7 linked regions of the Cricetulus griseus genome follow. The protein of the gene in region 4 interacts with the protein of the main gene of each other region in a pairwise test. Links are inferred from orthologs where the notes say so. Each region holds a gene or a part of one and is shown on either strand. Other genes may lie near its edges. The genes, in order: Znf488, Qki, Sema4g, Rbpms, Fam168a, Pogz and Gse1.

Region 1 (2,691 bases), about 130 Mb from region 4:
GCTACTTCTAAGCACGTGTTTGATGGTTAGCTCCCATAGTGTGGGAAGAACATAGGACTCCACACTGGCATCCCTCTGGAAGCCCTCTGGGGCTTCAGTCCTCTATTGCTGCACCCCGCTGTGGCTACCCATGCACCTCCCTTCCACTTGTACTGTGACCTTCTATAGCTTTCCCTTTGTGACTCACAGGATGGCCAGATCTAGGTGAGGTGAAAGCAATGTCTTTATGAAGCTTCCCCACAACAAATACCCATCCTTCTTCCCCGTCCCTGGCTGGTCTATCAAGGCCCCGACTCCCAAAGGACTCCACAGAAAGCACTCCTTATCAGGGACTGGAGTAGAAAAATGCATAAAACTAAGCAGTGGCCACTGTGTGATCGCAGTTAGAGTAGGGTCCACATGGAAAGGCAGCCTGACCATACAAGGCTTAGGTGGGAGTTGGGGAAACACAGGGACAAGGAATCTAAGATTGGTCCAAAGGAACCAAAAGAACATAGTGGAAGCAGGTTGGGGATGTGATGGAGGGAAAGGGGCTGCTAGTGTAGGAGACGGGGAAGGAAAGGAACACCATAGGAACCAAGATAACCTTGCACATTGTTGTTTCCAGATGCTGTGGCTTCCCCCAGGCTCTGGAGCACTAAGAACCAGACTGAGCTGGAGCAGGAGCTGATGGTTCTTTCTTCCTCACTTCAGGGTCATCTTGTCGGTAGGTGTCCACGATCCCCCATTTTCTGCCTCAGAGCAGGCTCCCTTCCCTACCTCTCCAGCTTCCAGGGTTCTGATGCAGGCTTGCTAATCACAGTAGGTGTTTCTGTGGCTTGCCTGCCTTTCCCTGCGTGGGGCCATGGCGTAGTCATCTGGTTCCATTGCTCCAGGGCTCTTTCTGGCAAATGCCTGTCTCCACCTGCTGCCGGAGTCTAAACTATCTGAGCTCATTCTTTCTCCCTTTCTCCTCAGATGACCCTGCTCCCACTTCACAGACATCAAAGGAAGGCCAGAAAAAACTGGCTTGTCTGGTGCCAGCCTACATGATGGGGCACTGACTGACCAGTGCCTGCCTCACTGCCTGTTGCTCTGTTTTTCTGCAGAGACCAGTAGTCAAGTGCATCCAGTCCAGGCTCATAGCTCCTCCTGGGGGTAGGGACAGTCCTTTGGAACTCCAAAGCCCTATAGACTAATGGCTGCTGGAACATCCACTTTGCTTAGCCTGTCAGGTCCTGCTGATCACATGGCTGAGGGCAAAGGGTCTTCTCTGAGTGCTTCAGTTGAGAAAAGATGGAGGCTCATGGAACCCAAACAGATCCAGCCAGGACTGCTCAAGAAAATAACTCTCCTGGACTCTGGAACCACTGCAGGTAAGAGTAGCCAAGATGTGACCTCTTCTGAACCAAGCCTGTCAACAGCACTGAATGAACCTCGAGTGGACAGGCATCTGGCCTGCAAGGCATGCACAGAGCAGAGGCAGGGTACCTTCACAGAACTGTCTTGTCTCCAGAAGAGGCCAGGGGACATTCAAGCCCAGAAGAGGAAGCCAGAGGACCCAGAAGGCTGGCTTGGCAGTGAGCAGCGGCCCTTGGATCATCCCAGAGCCTCAGTGGATGGCACAGTGTGCTCAGTCTGGCCAGGAGCAACCCGAAATGAGCAGAGAAGTGCTTTTAGCAAGCCAGCCAAGCGCCCGGCAGAGAAACCTAGGCGCTCCCCCTTGCTTCTGGACAGTGGAAATGCAGAGGGCCCATGGGAGCTCTCTGGACTCATCACCACTGTGGACATACCAGGATGGGCTCAGCTGTCAACGTTCAAACTCATGGGTGACTTCTGGAGATTGCATACATTGTCACAGAACATTCTGCTCTGTAATGCTTTCCAGGGGGCTCCCGCATCCTGGCTGGATCACACCCAGGTGCAAGTACCCACATCCTCAATGCCTTCTGCCACAGCCTCTCAGGCTCTCTTGCCTCCCACCCTCTCCTCCCCAGGCCTGTCCACTCAGAACTGGTGTGCTAAGTGCAATCTTGCCTTCCGTCTGACGTCTGACCTGGTCTTCCACATGCGTTCCCATCACAAAAGGGAGCATGTGGGCCCTGATCCACATTCTAAGAAACGGAGAGAGGAAGTTCTCACTTGTCCCATTTGTCATGAGTACTTTCGGGAGCGCCACCATCTTTCCAGGCATATGACTTCACACAGTTAGTAGGTTGTTAAGGAGAAACCCAATGGCCATAGAATCCAGAGCTCAGTGTTGAGGCACAAGTGACCCCTAGCCTTTATTGAGAAGGTTGTCATAGGTGTCTTCAAGGTTGCTCTCTTTGCTTCCCAGAGATGAACAGCTCAGTTATAATTTGTCAGATATCCCAGTCCTTGTGATGTGTTTTTCTGGAAAGCCATGCATTAAAATGGCAAGATTGGCTCATGGGATAAGGGGACCTATGACCTAGGGAACAAGGCTGTTCCTGGCTCTGTTCCTAGTTCTCTGCTTGGAAGCAAATGAGCACAACACCCTTGACTTTGTTGGCAAACAAGCCTGCATTCAATCTGGGCTCTCTCACCTGGGAGCCATGACCTTGGACATATTCCTTTAACTTGCTGACCCTAAGTTTTCTCATTTTAAAATGGTGTGTTAATGAAATGTCTTCAGTCTTGAGGAAGGTGTGTGGTAAGTGGCCAGCTCATTTCCTGGTAGCATTTGAAGTT
Region 2 (3,943 bases), on a different chromosome or scaffold from region 4:
CTCGCCCCCCACGCAGGCGCGCTCTCCGGCCGATAGGGCGGGGCGACCCTCGGAAGGGGCGTGGCCACAGCCCTCGACGCGCGCACGCGCCCTCGGCCTCACGGCTACGTGTCGGGCCACGTGATGCCCACCCGAGAGTGCCCCCAGTGAAGCAACAGGACGTTAAAAAAAAAAAAAATTCTCCTTTTTTTCTTTTCCTGAGGGGTGGCGAGGAAGGTGGACGAAGAGGTTTTAAAAAAAAAAAGAGAGAGAAAAAAATCCCCTCAAACTATAGTAACGCGCCGAGAGGCGAGGCCAGGGCGGCGGCGAGCGCAGCGCCCGCGCATAGTCCCGCCGGAATTCCTCTCAGCCGACGCGCCCGACCGCGCCCGCCGCCTCAGCAACAGCGCGCCGACGAGCCAGCGCCGCCGCCCGCGTCCCCTCAGCCGCGACCCCGGCCCCGCGCAGGCCGCCGCAGCCGGCGCGCGTCCCCCTCAGCCGCGGCCCGGCCCTCGGCCACCAGCCGGCCGTCCGTCCGTCCCGCCCGAGCGGCCAGGGGCAGGGGCGCCGGCGGCGGCGGGGGGCGGGAGCGCGCCTAGCCCCGTAACGGCCGCCCTGCGCGCCCGGCCCGCCGCCCGCCCCCGGCCCTGCCCGCGCCCCTCCCCCCGCCGCCGCCGGCAGCGCCGCCTGAACTGAGGCGAACTCCGCCGCCAAGTGAGTGAGGAGGAGGAGAGCCGCGGAGGAAGAGGAGGAGCGGCAGTCGGAGCGGCGGCGGCGGCGGCGGCAACGCGGGGGCGCCGCGGCGGACAGCACCGCAGACTCGCGAGCTTCGGCGCAGGCGGCGCGACCGGCCGACGAGCGGCCCCTCGACTCCTCGCGGCGCAGCGGCCCCGCGCCGCGCTCGGCCCCGAGACCCGCCTCCGCCGCCGGCCTCGCGAGGGGAGCCGCGCCGGGCGGCCGAGGAGCGGCGGCCGCGGCGCGTCGGGCCGGGCGAAAGTGCCTGCGGGGGGGCGGGCGGGCGCGCGGAGCCGGCCGCCCCGGGGCTCGGCGCGGGAGCCGGAGCGGAGTCGGCGCGGAGCGGGACGCCGCGTCCGAGCGGCCGGCGGCCGGAGCTCGCCCCGCCCCTCCCTCCTCTCCTCCTCCTCTCTCCTCCTCCGGCGGCGCGCGGCGGCGGCGGCGCGGGCGGAGTGAGCTGCGGAGCCTGGAATATGGTCGGGGAAATGGAAACGAAGGAGAAGCCGAAGCCCACCCCAGATTACTTGATGCAGCTGATGAACGACAAGAAGCTCATGAGCAGCCTGCCCAACTTCTGCGGGATCTTCAACCACCTCGAGCGGCTGCTGGACGAAGGTGAGCCTCTCGACCCCCGCGGGCGAGCGGGCGGGCGCGGCGGCCCGGGATGGCGGGGCGGCGGGAAGGTCAGGCGGGCGGGCGCACAAAGGCGGCGCGGGCGGCTCGCGGCGGGTCGGGGCCAGGGCCGGGGCAGGCCCGAGGGCGGACCCGGAGCTCGCGGGCGGCAGGGCGGCGGGGCGGCGGGGCTGCGGCCAGCTCCCGACGGCGCGGCAGATAGACACCCCGCCATCCCGACCGATCTGGCCGGGCCACGCGAGCTCTGCCTCGCCTCGCCCGCGGGGCCCCGGCTGGGGGTGCCCGTCTCAGTGGAGTTGTGTGGCCCGCGGTACAGGAGTGGACTCTTCGGGTGTCCACAGATTACGTAGGGTACCGAAAAGTAGTGCTTATGTGGCCGAAGGCGAGCACGAGCTGACACAGAGCACAGCACTTTTTTTGTCCTTTGTTTAGGGAAGCGAGAACTGTTTGGGAGTTTAACTTCACTTTTTTTTTTTTTTTTTGGGTGGCGGGGGGAGGAGTATGAAATACCGCGATGACAGACCTGAACGGAATCCGAGTTCGGAAGAACTCACTGGGGCGGAGGGTTAGCTCCAGGCGTAGCCGCCCGCGTCCCTGGGGCGGGGAGCTGGAAGTTTGAAAGGACGGGAATAAAATAGAGCGCAAGTTTGCAGAAGCCGAGTTGGGAGCGCTGCAGGGAGCGAAGAGTGGCTAGAAGATGCATGCTGGTCAGCTCTGGCAGTCCTCTAAGAACTTCTCTCAGCAGCGACCTGGAGTGTTAGTTCCCAGGAGCCGTGGGTTTCCGCGGATTCCCGGGGCGGCCTGTGGGGCAGGAGGACCAACAAGTCCGCTTTGAAAACCGTGTAGCGGGGAGTTTCCCTTTTGTTTTTAAAAGTCTCCAGGCGGGGGGCTGTCTGAAGGAAGCGGAAAACTGTGCTGATGTGCGGATGAACAGTGGATTTTAGCATCTTGAGAAGAATCTCGAAATATTTTCAAATACAGCTAGAGAAATCAAAATTTATGCTCAAGGAGCAGGCATATCAGGGAAGAACAAAAGACTTTGAATACCTCCGAGCTAAGAGCGAGCTTCTTTTGGGTGGGGAGCCATAGGCAGGACTTGAGGCAGAAAGCGCTCAGTTATGACGCCTGAACATGCATACAACAGTAACAAGTCGAAAGGGACATTTCCTACTTTTGGGTCCGCGTGTCTGTTAGTCTCAGACGCCTCGGAGGAAAGTTGTGCTGCCCCTTTAAGGGGTTTTGCCTATTTGTGTTGGCATTTGAAAGATTGTGGAGGCAGAAAACTTTCTGGAATGTCAAAAAAAAAAAAAAAAAAAAAAAAAAAAAAGGAGGGTGTGTGTGTGCTGGAACTCTTCAATTGAGTATTTCCAAATGTGAGCGCTAAGGGGCGCCAGCTATTTTTTTTTAACCTTGGAATGTTTGGAACAAAATGTCTAGCATGCTTAAAAATCTGACCTATATTAAGTTCAGTAGAAATTTAAATTTTAGGTGACTTCACCTGTCATTATTTATCCACAAATGTGATTTCAGAGACAACACCTAATTTACTGTTATTTTTTCACTTGGTGTGTTGTTTTCATGGTATTACTGTGAAATTTATGATGAAAATTATAGTTTTTTAAAAGTACAGTGTATGGGGAATCTCTTACACGCCTAGACAGCATTTAAAATGGATTAATATGCATTCTTAAAGTTCTCCGTATACTCAAGTGACATATTGAGATCATAAAAAGTTTGGAAATACTATAGGAGTTTCCTCGATTAGTTGTAAAAGGCTGCTCATGTAGTCTTTCAGACTGATCAGATATAACCACCTTAGTTTGAGGTTGGCATAAGTCAGCTGGAGGAATTTCAATTATGTCATTATTTCTGCACAGGCTTGTTTATTACTCTCTAGTTAGAAATAGTAACCCTTTGTGTTCCAAATGTAAAAGAAAGCTAGTTTAGGATTACAGTATTCAAAATAATATTTGTTTCTTTCCTTTTCCTGTTTTCTCCATCTTTCACCTCAGTCTGCCTTCTGTACTCAGGAGTCTGCATTAGGCCAGTATACAGAGAACTTCCATGCTTGTAGGTAGTGTGTTTACAATAGACCTCAGAATGAATAGGAAGTGTGATTGTTTTAATCATATCAGAGCAAATGTTGCAGGACAGGGGCTAGTCCTTAATGTGTTATAAGCCTTTTCCTGTACTTGCTAGTCTTATTATAAATTTAATTTGACTTGAAAATACTGGTTTCTTAAGTGCAAGATCATAATTTTCTTGCTAGATGACTTAATTGTGAAAATTGGCAACTTGTGCTTTACCCCCTTGTGGCCTCTCATTGTCCAAAAACAAATTAATCATGACTTGTGTTTGTGGTTAGGGATTACACTCTCCTTTGTCTGTAATGCTTGGCAGAAAGATTACTTTTAAATTCAGATAAAACTAAGTTTCACTTTAGGGATTAAATTGTTCAATGGCATTGAGATATTCTATTCTCTGATAGTTAGAAATTTTGAATGGGACTGTCTAGCAATTTTATTTTTAAAATACTTTCAAGCAGTGAGCTTTTAATATAGTTCCTGTTTGAGAATTTTCAGTTGACTAACAACTT
Region 3 (4,208 bases), on a different chromosome or scaffold from region 4:
TGACTCTTGTAAATACATGTGCTCTCCAGCCTACTTGAACATGTGTGCACACCTGTGAGCAAGTGTGTCACATTCTTCAGGAACCATGTGACTCAAAACTAAATGCACACATGTACCCATGCACTCCACACTGACTGGCTCCTGCCTGACCCTTAGCACTAATTCCCACTTCTGCTAGCCCTAGGGCTCCCCTTCTGTGCTGAGCAAATAGGAGGCCCCAAAAGCAAACAGGTGTGCCTTTACAGCAAGGTGGGGCTCAGGTAGCCTGAAACCTCCTGTTGCCCCAGCCCTCAAAACAGGAGCTTGAGGAGGCCCTTTCTGTGGTAGAGACCCCCCTTTCTTCCTCTCGTAGCATGCTCACCTTTAACTCCTGAACAGACCCTCCAAATTCCTGCTATTCCTCTGACTAGCTCCAGATTCCTCCCCTCTCTTTAGGGCCATATGGTTAATATTTGACCCAGAAGGAAAGGAGAGGCTGGTGACACCCTCTGACCCTGGCTATGGGTGTCTGATGACATTGGGTGGATCAGGCTTCCTCCACACCTTGCCCAGCCCAGGAAATCTTTGGAAATACCCTGGAGATAAGAGGGAGGCCATGTCACCCACCTCCACCTCGGCTGTAGGACTAAGGGTGGCCAGGAGTCTCAGAATCCCACTGTTCACTGTCTCCACATTGCTTAGGTCTTACCTGGTCTCACACACACTGCAGTCTCCTGCACAGACATTACACTTGTGCAGCTCACGGAACTAGATACCTGCACCTCACTCCCACCCCCTCACACTTGTGCCGCCTGCCAGCAGGTAGGTCTAGCAGGTAGGGACTCGTGTAGATGCCCAGCCAGAGGGTGAGGTATGGACTCGCATGGGCAGGGCAGGGATGTGCACCCCCTCAGAGAAAAATGCCAAAGAGAGTGTCTAATTAAAGAGAAATTCCAAAGGGAGCTCTCAGGCCAATGGGAAAGAAAAAACAAAGGGAAAACAGGACAAAATTAACAAAGGCCCATTAACTGACTCTGCCCAGGCCTTCCTGCAGAAGGCACCCCCGCAGGCAGTACTGCTGGAGGAACAGGCCAATCTAAGAACCAATGCTCTACCTAGATGGCCCCAAGCAGTGTTCTGACTGGGCAAGGGCTGTTACCATGGGTATAGATAGGTTAAAGCTAGTCTAGGGTCTTATAAAGACAGTAAGTTCACCACAGCCTTCTTTAGCAGAGCAGAAATGGACAGAATGTCTGAGACTGCCTTGATGAGGGAGTTCTTTGGATGTCGGGCCTCCCTCTGTCTTTCAGGGCCCCTGAAGTCTGGGTAATGCCAACCATCTTCCACCCACACACAGATCAAAGGGCTTTCCATCAGAGGGATTTTGATTTTGTTTTTGTTTGCTTTTTTTTCCTCCAGAAAACGGAGAGAAACTGGAACTTCCCCCCATACCCTCGGTTGGGGAAAGGTGACCCCTTCAGTCACCTACAACTTTGCTGGGACCCTCCAAAGCCCACTCTCCATGGAATTTGCCTTTGATGCTGAAAGACACGTGACCCGCCCATCCATCCCTCTGACTTCTGAGCTGTGATTCCATGGCCACACAACCTTGTGGCTCCATGTCTCCCCCATTCCAGGATCCTCCATGGCCCCATGACTACCTGATCCCCATGGCCTCATGACCCCTAACCTTCCATGTGATCACAGCCTGGACTTTGACCCCAGTGATTGCTCTTCCCCTCCAGTCCTGTGACTCTGGCCCCAGCTGCCTTTGGGGTCCTGTTGGACTGAACTTACCCAGGAAGATGTGGGGGAGGCTCTGGCCCCTCCTCTTCAGTTTCCTCACAGTAACAGCAGTCCCTGGACCCTCGCTGCGGAGACCATCCCGAGAGCTAGATGCCACCCCACGGACAACCATCTCCTATGGAGGTTAGATTCCCCAACCTTGCAAGGCTATGTCTGCCAGATCTGCAGACAGGAAGTAGCCCCCCACAGACGGCTCTCTGCCACTCTTATTCCCAGAGCTCTCCCAGATCCGGCACTTCAAGGGCCAAGCTCAGAACTATTCCACACTCCTGCTGGAGGACGCTTCCGAAAGGCTGCTGGTGGGAGCTCGAGGTGCCCTGTTCTCTCTCAGTGCCCGTGACATAGGAGATGGGGCTCACAAACAGGTCAGCCCTGGCAACCATGGGGTCTTCAGCCCCCTGGGACCTCAGTTACCTGGAGGCTTTCCCAGCCTTCCAGCCTCTGAGCAGCACGGCCCTTTCCAGCCCAGAGCCCCTTCTCAAATTCACCCCACTCCAGTTTCCCCCGCACTCTGGAGCCCCACTGTGTGATCCTCTGGGTGGTGGATATTGAGGTCAGTATTGCAGTCTGTTCCTCTATTCTCACTAGATCCACTGGGAGGCCTCCCCAGAGATGCAGAGCAAGTGTCACCAGAAAGGGAAAAACAACCAGGTATGTGATCAGCTGTCCCCAGCTCTTCTTTCTTCCTCCTCAACCAGGCAGGGGTCCCAGAACTGGGAGGGACACAGATGGAGAGGTACAGATGAGCAGCCAACTATACACAACCACAGTGAACATTAGGAAAGGCAGGCCTTGGGGTGACCATGTCGCCTGGCTTGTCACAGTATCTTAATCCCCACCCCCGGGGGTCGGATCTCAAATTATCATCGTAACAATAAGTAGCTGCTAATAAGTAACAACCAGATCTAATTCTAAAACAACCTTATGATGCATTATTATCTCCATCTCACAGATAGGAAAAATGAGACTTTGCTGGAACACTAGTCCAAGTACCTGGTGTTCATGGAGGGACCTTAGCCAAGCATTAGTCCTTTCTAGCTAAAAAGCAGGCTGTCTGCTGGGAGGGGGATCATATCTGGCTATGTAACAGCCATTTGCAGAGTTTTCTGTATTTATTTCTGTATTTATTTACCGATTTTGGAGTTTTGTTTTGTTTTTTGTTATGTTTTGTTTTGTTTTTTGATACAGGGTCTCACTATGTAGCCTTGGCTGACCTGGACTTTTAGTATGTAGACCAGGCTGGCCTCAAACTCATAGAGATTTGCTTGCCTCTGCCTCCCAAGTACTGGTATTAAAGGTGTGCACCACCACACCTAGCTAGAGATCTTTTTAAGAATATACATTCTTGCTGGGCGTTGGTGGCGCACGCCTTTAATCCTAGCACTCGGGAGGCAGAGACAGTTGGATCTCTGTGAGTTTGAGACCAGCCTGGTCTACAAGAGCTAGTTCCAGGATAGGCTCGAAAGCCACAGAGAAACCCTGTCTCGAAAAACCAAAAGAACAGAATATACATTCTTGGACCAGCGACGTGGCTCAGCAGGTTAAGGTGCTTGCCACCAAGCTTGACGAACCGAACAGTGAAAGGAGAGACAGGTTATCTTCTGATCTTCTTTCCAATGTGTACCATAGCACAGGCATACACATACACACATGAAATAAGTAGATACAAAAGAAAAAAAAAAACCCTAACACATTCCAAGCCAGTTATGGTAGCATTTGCCTGTGTATAAGCACACACACACACACACACACACACACACAGAGTACACATTCACACTGGGCATCGTCGTGGTGCATGCCTATGAAGACAGCCCTATGAAGACAATGAAAGGATTAGGAGTTCAAAGAAAGTCTTGGCCCCAAACAAGTTTGAGTCTAGCCTGGGCTATATGAGATTTTGTCTCAAAACAAAAGCGAGAAATAGCTCAAGGTCCATCAACCTAGAGATTCTGACTCAATGAGTGTGCTGTGCCCCTCTAGAACTGTCTGTCAGAGGCTGCCTCAGTGCATTGTGGTTAATAAACAGAGCTTGTGGGGCAGGAGAACCTAGATCACAAAGTGTCATAAATGCCCAACGCAGGGTTTGGGCTTTATTGTGACAATGACAGCCGTACTGTTTGATGCCTTAGAGGCCCTCATACATGAGTCATAGGTTCCAGATCAGTAGGTCTGGAAAGGGCCCAAGATATTTCTAGAAAGCCGTCTGAAGATGCTGTCTCTGGTCCCCAGACGACTTTGGGCAGCAAAGTGTCAGAGCGTGTCCCAAAGCATCGTCCTGAAGGACAGTCATTTTCAAAGGAGGAACTGAGTGGTCCAGTATGTTTGCAGAGGGCAACATTCCCATCTCACAGTGCACAGTGACACCCTTAAGGCTCTGAGAAGTCACCTGGTCGAGATAGATGTGTCCACTTCCCAAGCTCATC
Region 4 (2,696 bases):
CCAGCTCTTCCTCTCCCTGGAAGCCATGGTTCTTTTGAGAGCTGAGGATAATAATGAGACCCGAGCTTCACCCTTGGCATAACCACTCATGTAGTCAGCCCATGACAATTATTGCTGGCCATTGACAAGTAAAATATAGGTTCTATCTGTCTTACTACATATGCCACTCAACCTGGCCTCTTAAAAATTGCTGGCTGTGGACTGGTAGGATGGCCCATTGGGCAAAGGCACTTGCCGCCAAGCCTGACAGCTTGAGTTCAATCCCCAGGACCCACAGGTAGAAGAGAGAGCTGCCTTCTGCCAGTTGTCCCCTGCCCTCCACACCAGTACTCGTGCAGACACCCAAACTAAACAAATACTATAAATCTTTGTAAATTGTCAGACTGGTCAGGTGTGGGGGGGTGTTTATTTTGCATGGTCTTTGTTTCCAAGGCTGGATGATACCCCTTCATGTCCTGATTAAGAGGCCTGGGAGCAGCCCCAGAGAGTGTTCCCAATCCACTGTGTCAAGAGTACTGCAGGCCAACCTTTCTTTATCTGAGACTCCAGTGCTTTTTGCCTGCATTGGCAACTGGTTTCCTTAGCTGTTTGTTCTCCCTGGGGCATCATCTGCTTCAGGCAGACAGAGTTCAAAGGGAACCCCATTGTCTTGTGCCCGGGAACAGATATTGTCTGTCCTCTTCAGGGAGGGGGTACAAAGCAGTGTGGGGAGTTAGGAAAAGTGCAGAGGTGGCAGTGACTTGCCTTGGTTCAAGAAACAAACTGAAGTCAAGGATCAGGTGTGCCTTTTGCTTTTCCACCCTCTGCCCGGTGTCTCTACATGGGTCAGTGTTCAGTAACCCTGGTGACTGCCAGGTAGCAGGCAGGAGCAGCTAGGTGGTGGCTGTCTTTAGCTGAGTCGTTAGTGGTTTTGTGCTGTGGATAACTTTGTTGACAACAAAGGTCCATAAAGTCCCCATTTTGTGTGCCCCACACTTCGTGTGCAGGTATGCCCTTCTTGCTTAGGGTTCAGGAACAGAGCAACCAACTGTTGGGGTTATTAGCAGTACACACCATGAAACAGTGCAAGGTTGCACATCGGGCAACAGAGCCATTCACTGCTGCCTGGAGAATCAAGGCTTGCTAATGCCCAGAAAGACCTGGGAAGACTGGCTTTGGTCATGATGTGACATGACATCTGGAATTATTTGCAGGATATGGAGGGTAAAGGCTCTCTAACAAGGGTCTTGGGAGATTTAGAAAGCCTACGCCCCTGTGAGGAGGGATGGAGACCCAGTGCAAGATTAGATGCATCACGGCGTGTGCCTCGTTGGCATACATCACCCACACGACCCCCTTCTCTTGAGACTTCCCCAGCCTGCAGTCCTCCTAACTCAGCCATCAGCCCTACCTTTGGTGGAACTCCGATCTGCTGGTGGTGAGATCCATGTCGAGTCTCACTTCTGTAGAGTCATTTAAATGAACATTCTTAATAAATGTATTTGTCCATGTTGGAGTGAACTGGTAGCTTTGCAGACAACTGATCCAGCCCGTTACACAGACAGGGAACAGGGCCTGAGGAGATGGAGAGTTGTCCCAAGTCACAGTGGTTCTAGAGTTCTAGAGCAGGTCTGTCACCTGCTTCCCTTGCTAAAACAGCAAGGCGCCAGCTCACCTAATTCTTTTACTCTTGATGGAATTTTGGAGAGGCCTTGCTCCAGCGATTTCTTGGAACTTTCTTTTCTAAGTAAATGGGAAATCTGTCAGGAGAGCCTTGGAGGCCAAGATGGCTTCCGAGAATACTGACTAGAGGGGAGCAGAGTGGGGGCCCCTTCCTAGGTGCCTGGGGTTTTGTTTTGGAAACTGAGTGTCTTGGAGATTCTTCTGATTTTGCTTTTTTTTATTTTTTATTTTTTGCAATGTTGTGCTTTGTTTTGAGACATGGATTTTTTTTTTTTTCTTCTAGTGTTTCTCTCCAGAGGCAAAGCCCAACACACCTGTCTTTTGTCCTCTTCTCCAGCAAATTAGATTTGTCTCTGGGAATGTGTTTGTCACATATCAGCCTACTGCAGACCAGCAGAGGGAGCTCCCATGTTGAAATTGTTAGCAACCCCCACCCCCCTTTTGCAAAAAACAAAAAAAATCAAAAAAACAAAAAACTATTTCTTGATGATATTTGAGAGATTTCAATAAAAATTTCAATCAGAGGGAAAATGATCTCAAGTAGACTACAGAGTTTGTTTTCATGGTGCTACAATTTTGGAGCAAAAGTATTTAATCTCTGGCTGAGTTTGTGAGTACCTGGCCCGTAGAAGCTAAGTTGCATGTTTCACGGGAGCAGATTCTGAAAGAGCACCCTAGAAGACTGCGCCCAGCTCCAGGGCTTCATCGATGCCGCTGCCATCTTCTCGAGCTCCGAAACCACCCTGAGCTTCATGTTAGAAGATCCTCGTGCCAACAGGTCATCGGCTACCAGAAGTTCTTGCATCAGCACCAACAAGGCTGCCAGATCTAGCTAGGGGACACATACTGCTGTGTGCCTGCTCTGTTCCCAAGGAAGGGAAGACCCCCAAAATGGGACCTCCGTTATTGAGTTGGATCCCATTTCTAGTTCGGTTCTATCTAGTCATGAGCTACAATTCTCTCTCTGGTTTAATGGTACTTATGTACCATCAAATCCCATTGCTTTTGATCTAATTAATGGTGGCATACACCTG
Region 5 (3,500 bases), on a different chromosome or scaffold from region 4:
TCTTTTACATATTCTATCTTAGAAATTCATCATTTACACTATTATTAAAGACTTTTCCTATCTCCTCCTAAAACTAAAGTCTAGAGATTTGGCATTATTTACCCAAGTTTGGAAGAAAGCCAGACCTAAGCCCACATCTCTTTTCTTTCAACAAAAGCCTGCTCCACCCTGCACCATCCCCAATCCTGTCCTGACTTGTGAGCCCTACTTCTATCCGTCCTTCTGAGATACAGGCATAGCCTAGGTTCTAGGTCACTGTGTGTCTTCCTGATTTCTAACTTCAGGTGTTTGGGCAGAGGTTTCTCCCAGCCACAAGAAAGAAGAAAGGCCAGCTTTACAGAGCAATTTTCAATATCCTAGAAGATAAGGATCTCTGAGTAGTGGTTTTGTTTGTTTTGGTTTTTGAATGTTTTTTTTTTTTCCTTCAAACTTGTGAAGAGCAAGGGAATATGATCGTTGAAGCTCATTAGTGGGAGATAAGAGAAGAAAAGGAGAGAGAATGAAGTGCTCAGGATACACATGTGTGACCAGCTTGGGCTTCATAATGAGACCCTGACTCAAAAACCAAGGAGTTAGAGAATAGGGGAAGCAAGACAGAGAGAGATAGAATCGACAACAGAAAATATCCTGAGATGCTAAGTGAGGAACCAGAACATAGCAAAAAGAAATGGGCATCTAGGGCTGGAGAGATGGCTCAGAGATTAAGAGCACTGCCTGTTCTTCCAGAGGTCTTGAGTTCAATTCCCAGCAACCACATGGTGGCTCCCAACCATCTGTAATGTTGTCTGGTGCCCTCTTCTGGACTGCAGGGATACATGCAGGCAGAACACTATATACATAATAAATAAATCTTTAAAAGAAAGAAAGAAAGAAAAAGAAAGAAAGAAAGAAAGAAAGAAAGAAAGAAAGAAAGAAAGAAAGAAATGGGCATCTGTCAGTATATATCTGCCTTTCCACACAGGCAACTCAGAACTCCAGGTTGTCTGTCAGCGTAAAGGGCCCAGTAGAGACTATTTGGTTCTAGCTTCTGTTTTGGATGAAAGCCCTGAAACCCAGAGAAATAAAAGAGCCCCAAATCATGCTTGTAGCCCTGTTCACCAGGACTGAGGGAGCTGCCTGGGGCTGTAGCTCTGGGGTGGAGCTCTGTTCTCTTATCTGACCTCACTTGTGTTTCCAGCTGGATTCAACCCATTCTTGTTTGAGGAATTGGTACAGGGTGCCTGCTGCCTTCAAGCAATGCTATTCTGCCAACTAACTAGAGGTCTCTTTTATTGCCTTGGTACAGGATATACTGCAGGGACACCATACAAGGTCCCACCGACCCAGAGTAATACTGCTCCACCCCCCTACTCCCCATCACCCAACCCCTATCAGACGGCCATGTATCCAATCAGAAGTGCCTACCCCCAGCAGAATCTGTATGCCCAGGTAGGTACACATGGAGGACCTCTTGTGCAGGAGCCTCCAGCAAGGATGGGGTGGCATGGGATGAGGAAGAGAAAAGAGTTAATGGGTCTGGCCAGCTGTCATTACTGAAGCAATATTCCTGCAGGACTGCCTTCTCTGCCTCACTTCCAAAGGGTGAAGCATGAAGTCATTTAGGTTAACAGAGCCCCAGATGCTGGAGGACCATTAGAAATCATCTAGCTCAACTCCTTTGTTGAACAAGTAGAGAAGCTGAGACTGCAGAGGAGAAAGGCTTGTCTGAGGTCACACAGTGAGTTATTGGCTGGTTCAGGCTGTGCTATCACTTGTCTTGATCTTCCCTCTTTTAATCTCACACCTCCCTTGATAAAATCTATGAGCCAAGTAGGAAAGAAAAATAATATCCAGTGTCTGCTACCAGTGCCCACTGTGACCTAAGGCGAGTGATTCTTTTGTTTGTTTGTTTTGGGGTTTTGTTTTTGTTTTTCGAGACAGGGTTTCTCTGTGTAGCTTTGGAGTCTATCCTAGCACTTGCTCTGTAGACCAGGCTGGCCTCGAACTCACAGAGATCCGCCTGCCTCTGCCTCCTGAGTGCTGGGAGTAAAGGCATGCGCCACCAATGCCTGGCACGAATGATTCTTTAGTATGTCTTATTGGACCCATTTGGATTTCTTCTGCTGGAGAATGTGTGTAGCTGATAGGAGGCAAGAGGGAAGCACCATTTGAGACTCCAGCATGGCACATTCTTCTGAAGTGACAATTCTACATGAGGTATAAGTGGTAAGGGAAGATTTGGAGTTTAAACCCAGCTTTGTTGTCAGGCAGTGGTGGTGCATGCCTTTAATCCTAACACTCAACAGATAAAGGCAGGCCTGTCTGTCCAGTTCAAGGCCAGCCTGGTCTACAGAGCAAGTTCTGGGGCAGCCAGGACTACATAGAGAAAACCTGTCTTGGGAAAAATATAAAAACAAAACAAAACAAAACCCAAAACTAGCTATACTGGTGCTGGAGAGATGGTTGGTGGTTAAAAGCACTTGCTGTTCTTGCAGAGGTCCTGGGCTTGATTTCCAGCACCCACATGGCAGCTCACAGCCATCTGTAACTCCAGTTTCAATGGATGCAATGCCCTCTTCTGGCCTCCATGCAAGTGGCACACAGACACACATGCAGGCAAAACACACACACACACACACACACACACACACACACACACACACGTATTTAAACAACTAATAGAAAACATTTTTTTAAAAAGCTGTGTGGTGGTGGAGCACACCTTTAATCCCAGCACTTGGGAGGCAGAGGCAGGTGGATCTCTGTGAGTTCGAGACCAGTCTGGTCTATAAGAGCTAGTTCCAGGACAGCCTCCAAAGCCACAGAGAAACCCTGTCTAGAACCCCCCCCCCAAAAAAAATAAAGAAAACATTTTTTTTTTTAACTAGCAATGTTGCAGAGTATACTACAAAACTGGGGCATGACAACATGTGCCTTTAATTCCAGTATTGGGAAGAAGTTCAGGGTCATCCTCAGCTATATAGTGAGTTCAAGACCAGTCTGTCTGGAAAATAAATAGGTAAGTAAGTAAGTAAATAGAAAAACAGGAAGTTTAGATCAATTTTTCTCCAGTATGGTATAATATCTTAGCCTATGCTGTCTAACCTCTAAGGGTACAGCGAGACTTTTATTATTTACTATTAAAGCCAGAGAATTTCTGGATTAATCTCAGATGCTTCTGTCTGCTCCCAGAGCTCAGGAGGCTGAAATGTAGCACCTGAGAAGAGTCATGTGGTCTGGGAAGGGCAACATCACTTCAGACTACTGTCTCCCGAGACACCTTGGGAAATGCTATCCAATAATGACATAGCAAACATAAATCAACAACATTCACACTGGTGTATGAATGCCATTAATAATGCTTCTGCCTGTGTGGCAGTGTTCTGGTGTCCCCATGCTCAGAAACTCACTGTGTTCCTTACTGTTAAATTAGGGGCAGCTTATGGACATGCCTTAGAATCAAATTTTGAAAATTTTTAAATGTTAAAACCAAGGCTAAAGGAGAAAAGCTCTTACTAATT
Region 6 (3,500 bases), on a different chromosome or scaffold from region 4:
CATCATGTGCATGCCTGGTACCCAGAGAAACCAGAAGAGGGTGTCAGATGGTTGTGAGCCACTGTGTGAGTGCTAGAGAAACCGGGGTTCCCCAAAAGAGCAGCCAGTGTTCTTAATAACTGAGCCATCTCTCTAGCCCCTGTAATGGTTTTAAAAAATCACAAAGTGGTTCAGGTACGATAAGACGGTGGCTCAGCGTGCAAAGATTTTCTTTTGTTTGGTTTTATTTTTAATTTTTTTGCATGCAAAGAATTCTTACCGCCAAGCCTTACAGCCTGAGTTTGATCTCTGGGGCCTACACTGAAGGACAGAATGGACACTCTGACCACATGCACAGTCACATACACAAAATAAACTTAACGTTTAGATGAGCATATAGAGAAAGTGGAATCCTTATACCGTATTGGCAGGGATATAGCACAGTACAGATACTGTGAAAAAATAGTTTAATTGCCATATGCTTTAGGAGTTCTGCTTTTGAGTACATAGTGAAAAGCGTTGAAAGCAGGGACTAGAACAGGAGTTTGTACCTCTGTGCTCATTAGCTGCATCATTCACAGTAGGCTTAAGGTGAGAACAGCCTAAATTGCCATCAGATCGTGAATGTGTAAACAAATATGTCTTGTTTAATACAATGGTATGTTATTTAGAGTTAAAAAGGAAGTTTTTTCTTTCCAAAAGTTGTTTTTATTTTTGAAATTGTAAATTTAATTACATTTCTTCCTTTTCCTTCCTCCACACCTTCCCATATATCTCTTCCCATTCTTCTTTAAATTTATGGCTTCTTTTTTCATCAGTTGTTATTGTACACATATGTACATCTATACATACATATTCCTAAATAATAACCTTCTTGACTCCATGTAATATCACTTGTATGTATAGGAAGTCGTTTTGACATAATACAACATGGAAAACTTTAAGGGCATTATTAGTTTATGTGAAATAATGTCAGAGTCTGGGCCAGTAGTGTGACATAGGAGACCCTGGTACAGAAAGGCCATGGGTATAGCACACATGTGTTATCCTAGACCCTGGCACATGGAGGCAGGAGGAGCGGGAATTCAGAGCTGGCTTCCACTGTATCATGCCTTTAGCGATGGTATGGGCTATAAGAGGTGCTGTTTCAGGCGGAACTCCCCCCAAAATAGTTTCAGTTCTATAAGGTAAGAAGAGTTCTGGAGGGCTGGAGAGATGGCCCAGTGGTTAAGAGGACTGGCTGCTCTTCCGGAGGACCTGGGTTCAATTCTCAGCACCCATGTGGCAGCTCACAACTGTCTGTAACACTAGTTCCAGCAGATCCAACTCTCTCACACAGACATGAATGCAGACAAAACACCAAGGCACATGAAATTAAGTAAGTAAAAAAGTTCTGAAAATTATACATCATGGATGTACTTCGCCACCTAAAGCACATACTCAAAGCCAGTTATAGTGCTGAGTATTGCTTTCTGTATGTCACAGTGTCACAATTTATATGTTTTGTTTTGTTCTAAAACCAGGTCTTCCTATGTAGGCCAAATGGAACTAAATATATAGACTAAGCTGGCCTGGAACTTGGTGATCCTCTTGCCTCCACTTCCCAAAGACTAGGATTATAGGTGTGCATCACCATGCTCAGCTCCATTACAGTTTTAAAAAAGAAAGGTGTCTTGTCAGCCATATGGCACATCCTGTTATCTCAGAACTCGGGGTGGAGGCATGTTAATCATGAGTTCAAGGTTAACCTGAATTACACAAATATGCTGTCTGAAAACAAACCAAAAAAAAGACATAAGTGGGAGAGAGAAACAGAACTTTACCTAATTAGAGGTGGTGGTAAAGGGCATTCCCAGCTCGTGAGTGAAAACAGAAACTGACTGCTGGTCAGATGCCCTTTGTTCTCAGTCTGCCAGCCAGCCCTAGTGAAAAAGTATGCCTCTCATGCTTGCTTTTTACTCTTGGCTGTTTTCTCAGGAATCTTGCCCCAGTATGCTGTATTAATCTTATTAATTCTTCTCCATTCTTCCAGTGACCTCTTCCATCCCAGCGTTTGACCTCCAGGATGGTGGACGGAAAATATGTCCACGGTGTAACGCTCAGTTCCGTGTCACTGAAGCCTTGAGAGGTCACATGTGTGTAAGTGACACCACCTGTATCAGGAGCCAGCTTAAGTGGCCTCCTCTTCCCTCTCTGATAGTGAGAGCATGAAAATCAGATGCTTAAACTGGCTTGGAAACTTGTAAATGCTGTTCTCTCCTTTGGTATATTGTAGAAAAGGGCTATGTGAACTGAAAATATGATATCAGCATTTAAAAACTGCTGATAGGTGATGGGACACTTACTGTCTTAGCATGGTAGATTTGATCTCGCGGGACAGCAAGTTTGTTGCATAAGACCACAGACAATTGTCATAACCTCAGCTCAGTTTTAATTGTGTCACTAGAAGAATTAAAACCTGTTACCTGGTCCCTGCTTTATTTATAGTCTTGTAACTTTCTGGTATCAGTCCAAATGAAAAGGTTGGAACTTCTTTCTCTAGAATGTTCCAAGTCAAATGATGCTATTATAAGTCTCTAGACAGGCAGGTGGGAGAGCTCTAAAAGGTGTAGTGTTAGAGGCTCTGTGGACATATAAAAGAAAAATGTGAACTCTGGGATTACTAAAAAAAGCAAGATGAAAGCTGGAAGATAACCACCTTACCCAGCTCAGGTGTGCTAATGAATGCCTATAGTCCAGCTACTCCTGGACTATCCTGAGCAGAGATCCCAGTGTCCACAAACATATCCTTTATTGCCTACATTAACAGATCACTCCCAGGGACTATTAGTGATATGGATTTAGCTCATCCTAGTCTCGGGTAATCAGAATCATGACGTCATCTCTTTTACAGTACTGCTGCCCTGAAATGGTTGAGTACCAGAAGAAAGGCAAGTCCCTCGAAGCAGAGGCCAGTACTCCATTGGCAGCAAAGCCCTCATCCCCTGAGAAGACAGCTCCCATCACTTCCACACCCTCCTCTACACCTATTCCTGCTCTCTCACCACCTACCAAAGTACCAGAGCCAAATGAGAACGCTGGAGATGGCGTCCAGACCAAGCTTATTATGCTAGTTGATGACTTTTACTATGGACGGGATGGGGGCAAGGTAGCCCAGCTCACGAGCTTTCCTAAGGTTGCCACATCTTTCCGATGCCCTCATTGTACCAAAAGGCTAAAGAACAACATTAGGTAAGCATGAAAGTAGACAAATTTTCTTACCTTGTTAAGTTTTTCTTTTTGGAAACATTAATTATGATGCAGTCTTGTTAGAAGTTATAGTGTACAATACTGTTATTTTATTAATAAAGGATACCAGTCTCTTTGCACAGAACCTAATTTTAGTTTTAACAACCTATTATTTGGGGACTGGAGAGATGGTTCAGCAGTTGAGAGCACTGCTGCTCTTCCAGAGGACTGGGGTTCAATTCCCAGCACCCACATGGTATCACAACTATCTGTAACTCCAAGATCTGACTCCC
Region 7 (4,055 bases), on a different chromosome or scaffold from region 4:
GCCAGTCAGGGTGGGGGCAGGCTGTGAGGACTCTGTCTCCAGGGTGATGCAGAAGACAACTCCTTTTCCTTCTGTCTCTAAAAACTAGGGCATTGAACTCAGAAAGGTGACCCCAACCCTGGGCTACTGAACGGCCAGGACCTCCCCAGGTTCTGGGGGAGGGGGTGGGGGTGCTCTTCCCAAGTCTCCCTTGGTACCCATCGGTCCTCACCTGGCTCTAATGCGTCCGGCTTGACCTTTCCTTAAAGATCAGCGGCAGCGGCTGATGGGTTTCGTGGGTCCCAAAGGAGACCCTTCAGACAGCCCGAGCCACGGGCTGCAGAGCCCCTAATTGGAGCAATGAATCACTGCGGGCTCCTGCTGGACACAGAATAGACAGAGGAGCTGAACGCTATTGTGCCATAGTTTGGGACACAGGGGGGTGAGAGAGGATGGGGAGGGAAGACGGGGGTGGGGGGCGGGTTGGGGAGAGAAGAGGTCAGGGGAGGAGGAAAGAGGAGGATGGAGAGGACAGGATGAGTCAGGGGAGGAGGGGCGGAGAGGAGGTAAGGGGAGGAGGATTAGGAGGAGGAGGAGGCAGGGGAGGAGGGGACGGAGAAGAGGATTAGGAGAAGGAGGAGTCGGAGGGGGGGGGAGGGAGGAGGAGCCCGGGTGGAGGCGGGCAGCAGGGCGGCGCGAGGGAGGGCTTCCCCGCCTCCGCCTCCCTCCCGCGCCCTCCGCCCCGCGCCGCCCCGCCTCCCTCCTCCCAATTAAATGACCCGACGCTCTGGCCGGCGCCGGAGCTCGCACATGCGGCCGCCGCAGCCGCCCGGGGCTCGTCGCCACTGCCGCCACCTCCACGTTCCGGGCGCGCTCTCCGGCGCCGCCTGGGCCCGCACCGCTGCCAGCCGGGGACTCAGCAGCCCCAGGCACCGCCGCAGAGACCCTCCGTGCGCCCCGGGCCGCGTGCGCGCCGCCGCCCGCCAAACTTTGCGAGTTGGGCGCGGGGCCTCGGGCGGCGCGGCCGGAGCAGCGGCAGCCGCGGGTAGCGCGGAGGCGGGCGCGGCGGCCGGGCCATGAGCGGCCGGGCGGCGCCGCTCTCCCGCAAGCAGCGGCTCATGGCAGCGGCGGGCGCGGCCCTGTCGTGCTTCATCTGCGGCGGCGGCATCGCGCGCGGCAAGGAGCTGAAGCTGCCGGTGAGGCCGGCGGGCCCCGCGCAGCCCTTCTTTCCGTTCCTGCAGCAGCAGGAGCCGGCGCCCGGCGCGCGCGGGCTGAGCGCGGCCGATGGCTGCGTGCTGGTGTGCGCCGTGTGCCGCTGTTTCCTGGCGGAGCAGTGGGCCGCCTTCGAGCGCGCGCGCACGCCCGTGGACAAGCGCGTGTACTGGCTCAAGCGGCCGCACCAGTGCGACGCGAGCGCGGGTGGCCGGCGCGGGGCCCGCGAGTGGAACGCCGAGGACGCGCGCGACTCGGAACTGTCGGAGCTGTCGGACGCCGACGCGCTACCAGAGCCGGAGCCCGAGCCGGAACCTGAGCCCGAGGATGCTCACGACGCCACGAAGCCCGGAGTCCGGCGCCGACGCACGGGCCCCGGGACGCACTGGACTCCGGAGCCGCCTCGGGCCAGCGTGCTGAGGGGCGTCCAGGAACCCTGGCCCATCCCCACTGCCCCTGACGGCACGGACAGCGCCGCCTCTAGCCGGGCCGCAGGGCCCCCAGAGCGCAGCAGCACCCCCGAGGGCAGCGACGTCGCTGGCAGCCTCGGGGACGAGGGCCTGGAGCGGCCTCCCCCGACGCCCGCGGACAGCCAGGCCCGCTGCTGCTACGTCTGTGGGTCGGCGCTGTCGCCGGCCTCGCAGCAGCAGATCCACGTGCAAAAGCAGGAGGCGCCCTCCCAGGCGCCCTTCTTCCCCTTTCTGTGGCTGCATAGCCCCCCGCCCGGAGCCCAGCCCATCACTGAGGCTGGCAGCACCCTCGTATGTCCCTGCTGCTTCTCGTCCCTCACGCACCAGTGGCAGAGCTTCGAGCTGGCCAACGTGCCTGTCCTGCAGCGGCTCTACGTGGTTCCCCTGAACAGCCACGCCCCCGGCATGGCCTCCAAGGCCCGGAGACTCCCCAGAGAGGAGGGCCCCCCCACTGCCGCGGGCCTGCTGCGGGAGGCCTGCTACCTCTGCGGGGAGGATTGTACACGGGATGCCCGGGCAGTGCCCTCCCGCATCGTCAATGGCAACTCGGGCGGCTCCATGCACTTCCCTTTCCTCAGCCTCCTGCCTTGCCCACCCAATGCTCGGCCCCCCAACAAGCACTGCGAGGTTCGCAGCTGCCCCAAGTGCTTCAGCGTCCTGGAGGACGTCTGGGCCCTGTACCGGGCATCACACAACCGTGAACTCATCAACTCTGTGCAAGGCTTCCTGGGCAGGTACCACCAAGCCTTCTCGGCCTCGGACCCTACTCTAAGCGATCTGCCCGCTTCTGCACAGGGAGGCCCGCCTGCCGTCTGTTACATCTGTGGGGCTGAGCTGGGGCCGGGCAAGGAGTTCCAGCTCAGCATGAACCCCGCTAGCCACCTGGGCGAGAAGGAGCCCTTCTTTCCTTTCCTCACTGTCTATCCGCCCGCCCCACGGGCCAGGCCTGCAGACTCCACCGGCCTGGTGGCCACCTGTGTGCTCTGCTATCATGACTTGCTGGGTCAGTGGCTGCAGCACGAAGCCAGAGCCGCTCACCAGGCTGTCAGCGCCTGGTCTAGGCAGTACCAGGTAGACACGTTCGTATGCTTCTTCTGCCAGCAAGAGAAGAAACGGTGTCTGGGGCTGAAGTCAGTGAGGGTGGCCAGGCTGCCCTTGTTCCTGTATACCCTGAGAGCCAGCCACAGCCTGTTGGTGGATGATGGCCGGCAGCTGATCATTGGTGCCTGCGTGGAATGTGGGACCCTGGTTTGTGCAGGTCAAGGGCTTGTCAGCCAGGGATCCATGGGCTGGAGCTCCCCAGCAGCAGGAGCAACAAAGGTAAGCAGTAGCTTTCATCTCAGAGCATCTGTGTCTCAAAAGGAGAGATGTTTTCTGTTCCTTGGCAGTATCATTGGTTCTGTATGGAGTGTCCCAGCAGGAGGCGTTCTCTTTGCCTTGCTAGCTTGGCTGACCTTGGAGGCCTGGGGCAGGAGGTTAGAGGGTCTGGGGGCAGGGGTGGAAGAATAGCTGCTGCTGGAATCAGCAGGCATGGGGCTGAAGCTGGGAGTGTTTGCCACGAATCTATCAAACGGAGGAAGTTCAGGGCACGGCTGTTGTCCGCCCGATAACATTGGTAATTAGTGTAGCCACGCAGGTCACCCGGAGGTGGCTAGTTCCTCTGACGAGCTCCTGGCTGCCTCGCTCTTCCCAAGATTCCCACCCAAGTGCATTTCGTTTGAGTCTTCCTGGTGGCTTTATGAAGCAGATGGCAACAGATTCCAGACGTGTAGGCGTGGGACACAGGCTCATGGGACCCAGGATGGTGGCCTAGACAACCTTTGCAGTGGTTAGTCTCTTCAAGTCAGCTGCGTGGAGCTGAGCCGAGGCCTGGGGCCTGTTCTCAGGATGCAGCTGTCTGCCTGGTAGGAGACAGTCAGGGCACTGGGATGATAGAACCTAGCTTTGTAAGAAACTGGGCAGGAGCTGGCCAGGTGGCCCTGGGAAAGGGGGCAACAGGCAGGGAGGCAGGCAGGCAGGCATCTGTGAACTGCACTCACTGTCCTGCCCTTGGGCTGGGATCCTAATTCCTACCAAACAGACTGTCCTGTCCTGGACAGAGAGAGGCCTGTGTGGCAGTGACTGGCCAGGGACCTGCAGAGAGACATAAGGGTGGTTAGGTGGGTCCAGTTCAGGAAAGGCTGTGTGTAAAGTATCTGGTTCCTGCAATTGTGTGTGTGTGTGTGTGTGTGTGTGTGTGAGAGAGAGAGAGGGGGGGGGGGGAGATATGCCTGGGCACATGGAGGCTGACCTATGAGGCAATCTTTGTTGTGCCTGGGTGTCCCTTTCCCAGGCTCACAACCCCAACTGCCTCACGAGTTGGCCTTGGTCTTGAGTTGCCTTTAAGGTTTTGAT

What was found.
Region 1: the proteins of Rbpms (region 4) and Znf488 interact in binary tests that used the Homo sapiens proteins (3 or more experiments, as listed by UniProt). The two-hybrid records come from large-scale screens. The link is inferred for Cricetulus griseus from reciprocal best matches to the Homo sapiens genes RBPMS and ZNF488.
Region 2: the proteins of Rbpms (region 4) and Qki interact in binary tests that used the Homo sapiens proteins (3 or more experiments, as listed by UniProt). The link is inferred for Cricetulus griseus from reciprocal best matches to the Homo sapiens genes RBPMS and QKI.
Region 3: the proteins of Rbpms (region 4) and Sema4g interact in binary tests that used the Homo sapiens proteins (3 or more experiments, as listed by UniProt). The two-hybrid records come from large-scale screens. The link is inferred for Cricetulus griseus from reciprocal best matches to the Homo sapiens genes RBPMS and SEMA4G.
Region 5: the proteins of Rbpms (region 4) and Fam168a interact in binary tests that used the Homo sapiens proteins (3 or more experiments, as listed by UniProt). The two-hybrid records come from large-scale screens. The link is inferred for Cricetulus griseus from reciprocal best matches to the Homo sapiens genes RBPMS and FAM168A.
Region 6: the proteins of Rbpms (region 4) and Pogz interact in binary tests that used the Homo sapiens proteins (3 or more experiments, as listed by UniProt). The two-hybrid records come from large-scale screens. The link is inferred for Cricetulus griseus from reciprocal best matches to the Homo sapiens genes RBPMS and POGZ.
Region 7: the proteins of Rbpms (region 4) and Gse1 interact in binary tests that used the Homo sapiens proteins (3 or more experiments, as listed by UniProt). The link is inferred for Cricetulus griseus from reciprocal best matches to the Homo sapiens genes RBPMS and GSE1.

Annotation. Positions count from the first base shown.
Region 1 is NW_023276807.1:185,393,951-185,396,641, forward strand, and holds Znf488 (zinc finger protein 488), read left to right. Parts: upstream 1-1,177; coding exon 1,178-2,191; downstream 2,192-2,691. UniProt on the Homo sapiens protein: Transcriptional repressor. Plays a role in oligodendrocyte differentiation, together with OLIG2. Mediates Notch signaling-activated formation of oligodendrocyte precursors.
Region 2 is NC_048595.1:290,489,551-290,493,493, forward strand, and holds the start of Qki (protein quaking), read left to right. Parts: upstream 1-1,143; 5' UTR 1,144-1,187; coding exon 1,188-1,329; intron 1,330-3,943. UniProt on the Homo sapiens protein: RNA reader protein, which recognizes and binds specific RNAs, thereby regulating RNA metabolic processes, such as pre-mRNA splicing, circular RNA (circRNA) formation, mRNA export, mRNA stability and/or translation.
Region 3 is NC_048596.1:16,576,008-16,580,215, reverse strand, and holds the start of Sema4g (semaphorin-4G), read left to right. Parts: upstream 1-1,408; 5' UTR 1,409-1,784; coding exon 1,785-1,908; intron 1,909-2,001; coding exon 2,002-2,150; intron 2,151-2,373; coding exon 2,374-2,436; intron 2,437-4,208. UniProt on the Homo sapiens protein: Cell surface receptor for PLXNB2. May play a role in axon guidance.
Region 4 is NW_023276807.1:51,013,785-51,016,480, forward strand, and holds the end of Rbpms (RNA-binding protein with multiple splicing), read left to right. Parts: intron 1-1,945; coding exon 1,946-2,077; 3' UTR 2,078-2,196; downstream 2,197-2,696.
Region 5 is NC_048596.1:98,713,128-98,716,627, reverse strand, and holds part of Fam168a (protein FAM168A), read left to right. Parts: intron 1-1,285; coding exon 1,286-1,428; intron 1,429-3,500.
Region 6 is NW_023276806.1:61,643,436-61,646,935, reverse strand, and holds part of Pogz (pogo transposable element with ZNF domain), read left to right. Parts: intron 1-2,011; coding exon 2,012-2,118; intron 2,119-2,872; coding exon 2,873-3,210; intron 3,211-3,500. UniProt on the Homo sapiens protein: Plays a role in mitotic cell cycle progression and is involved in kinetochore assembly and mitotic sister chromatid cohesion.
Region 7 is NC_048596.1:196,859,103-196,863,157, forward strand, and holds the start of Gse1 (genetic suppressor element 1), read left to right. Parts: upstream 1-1,255; 5' UTR 1,256-2,066; coding exon 2,067-2,981; intron 2,982-4,055.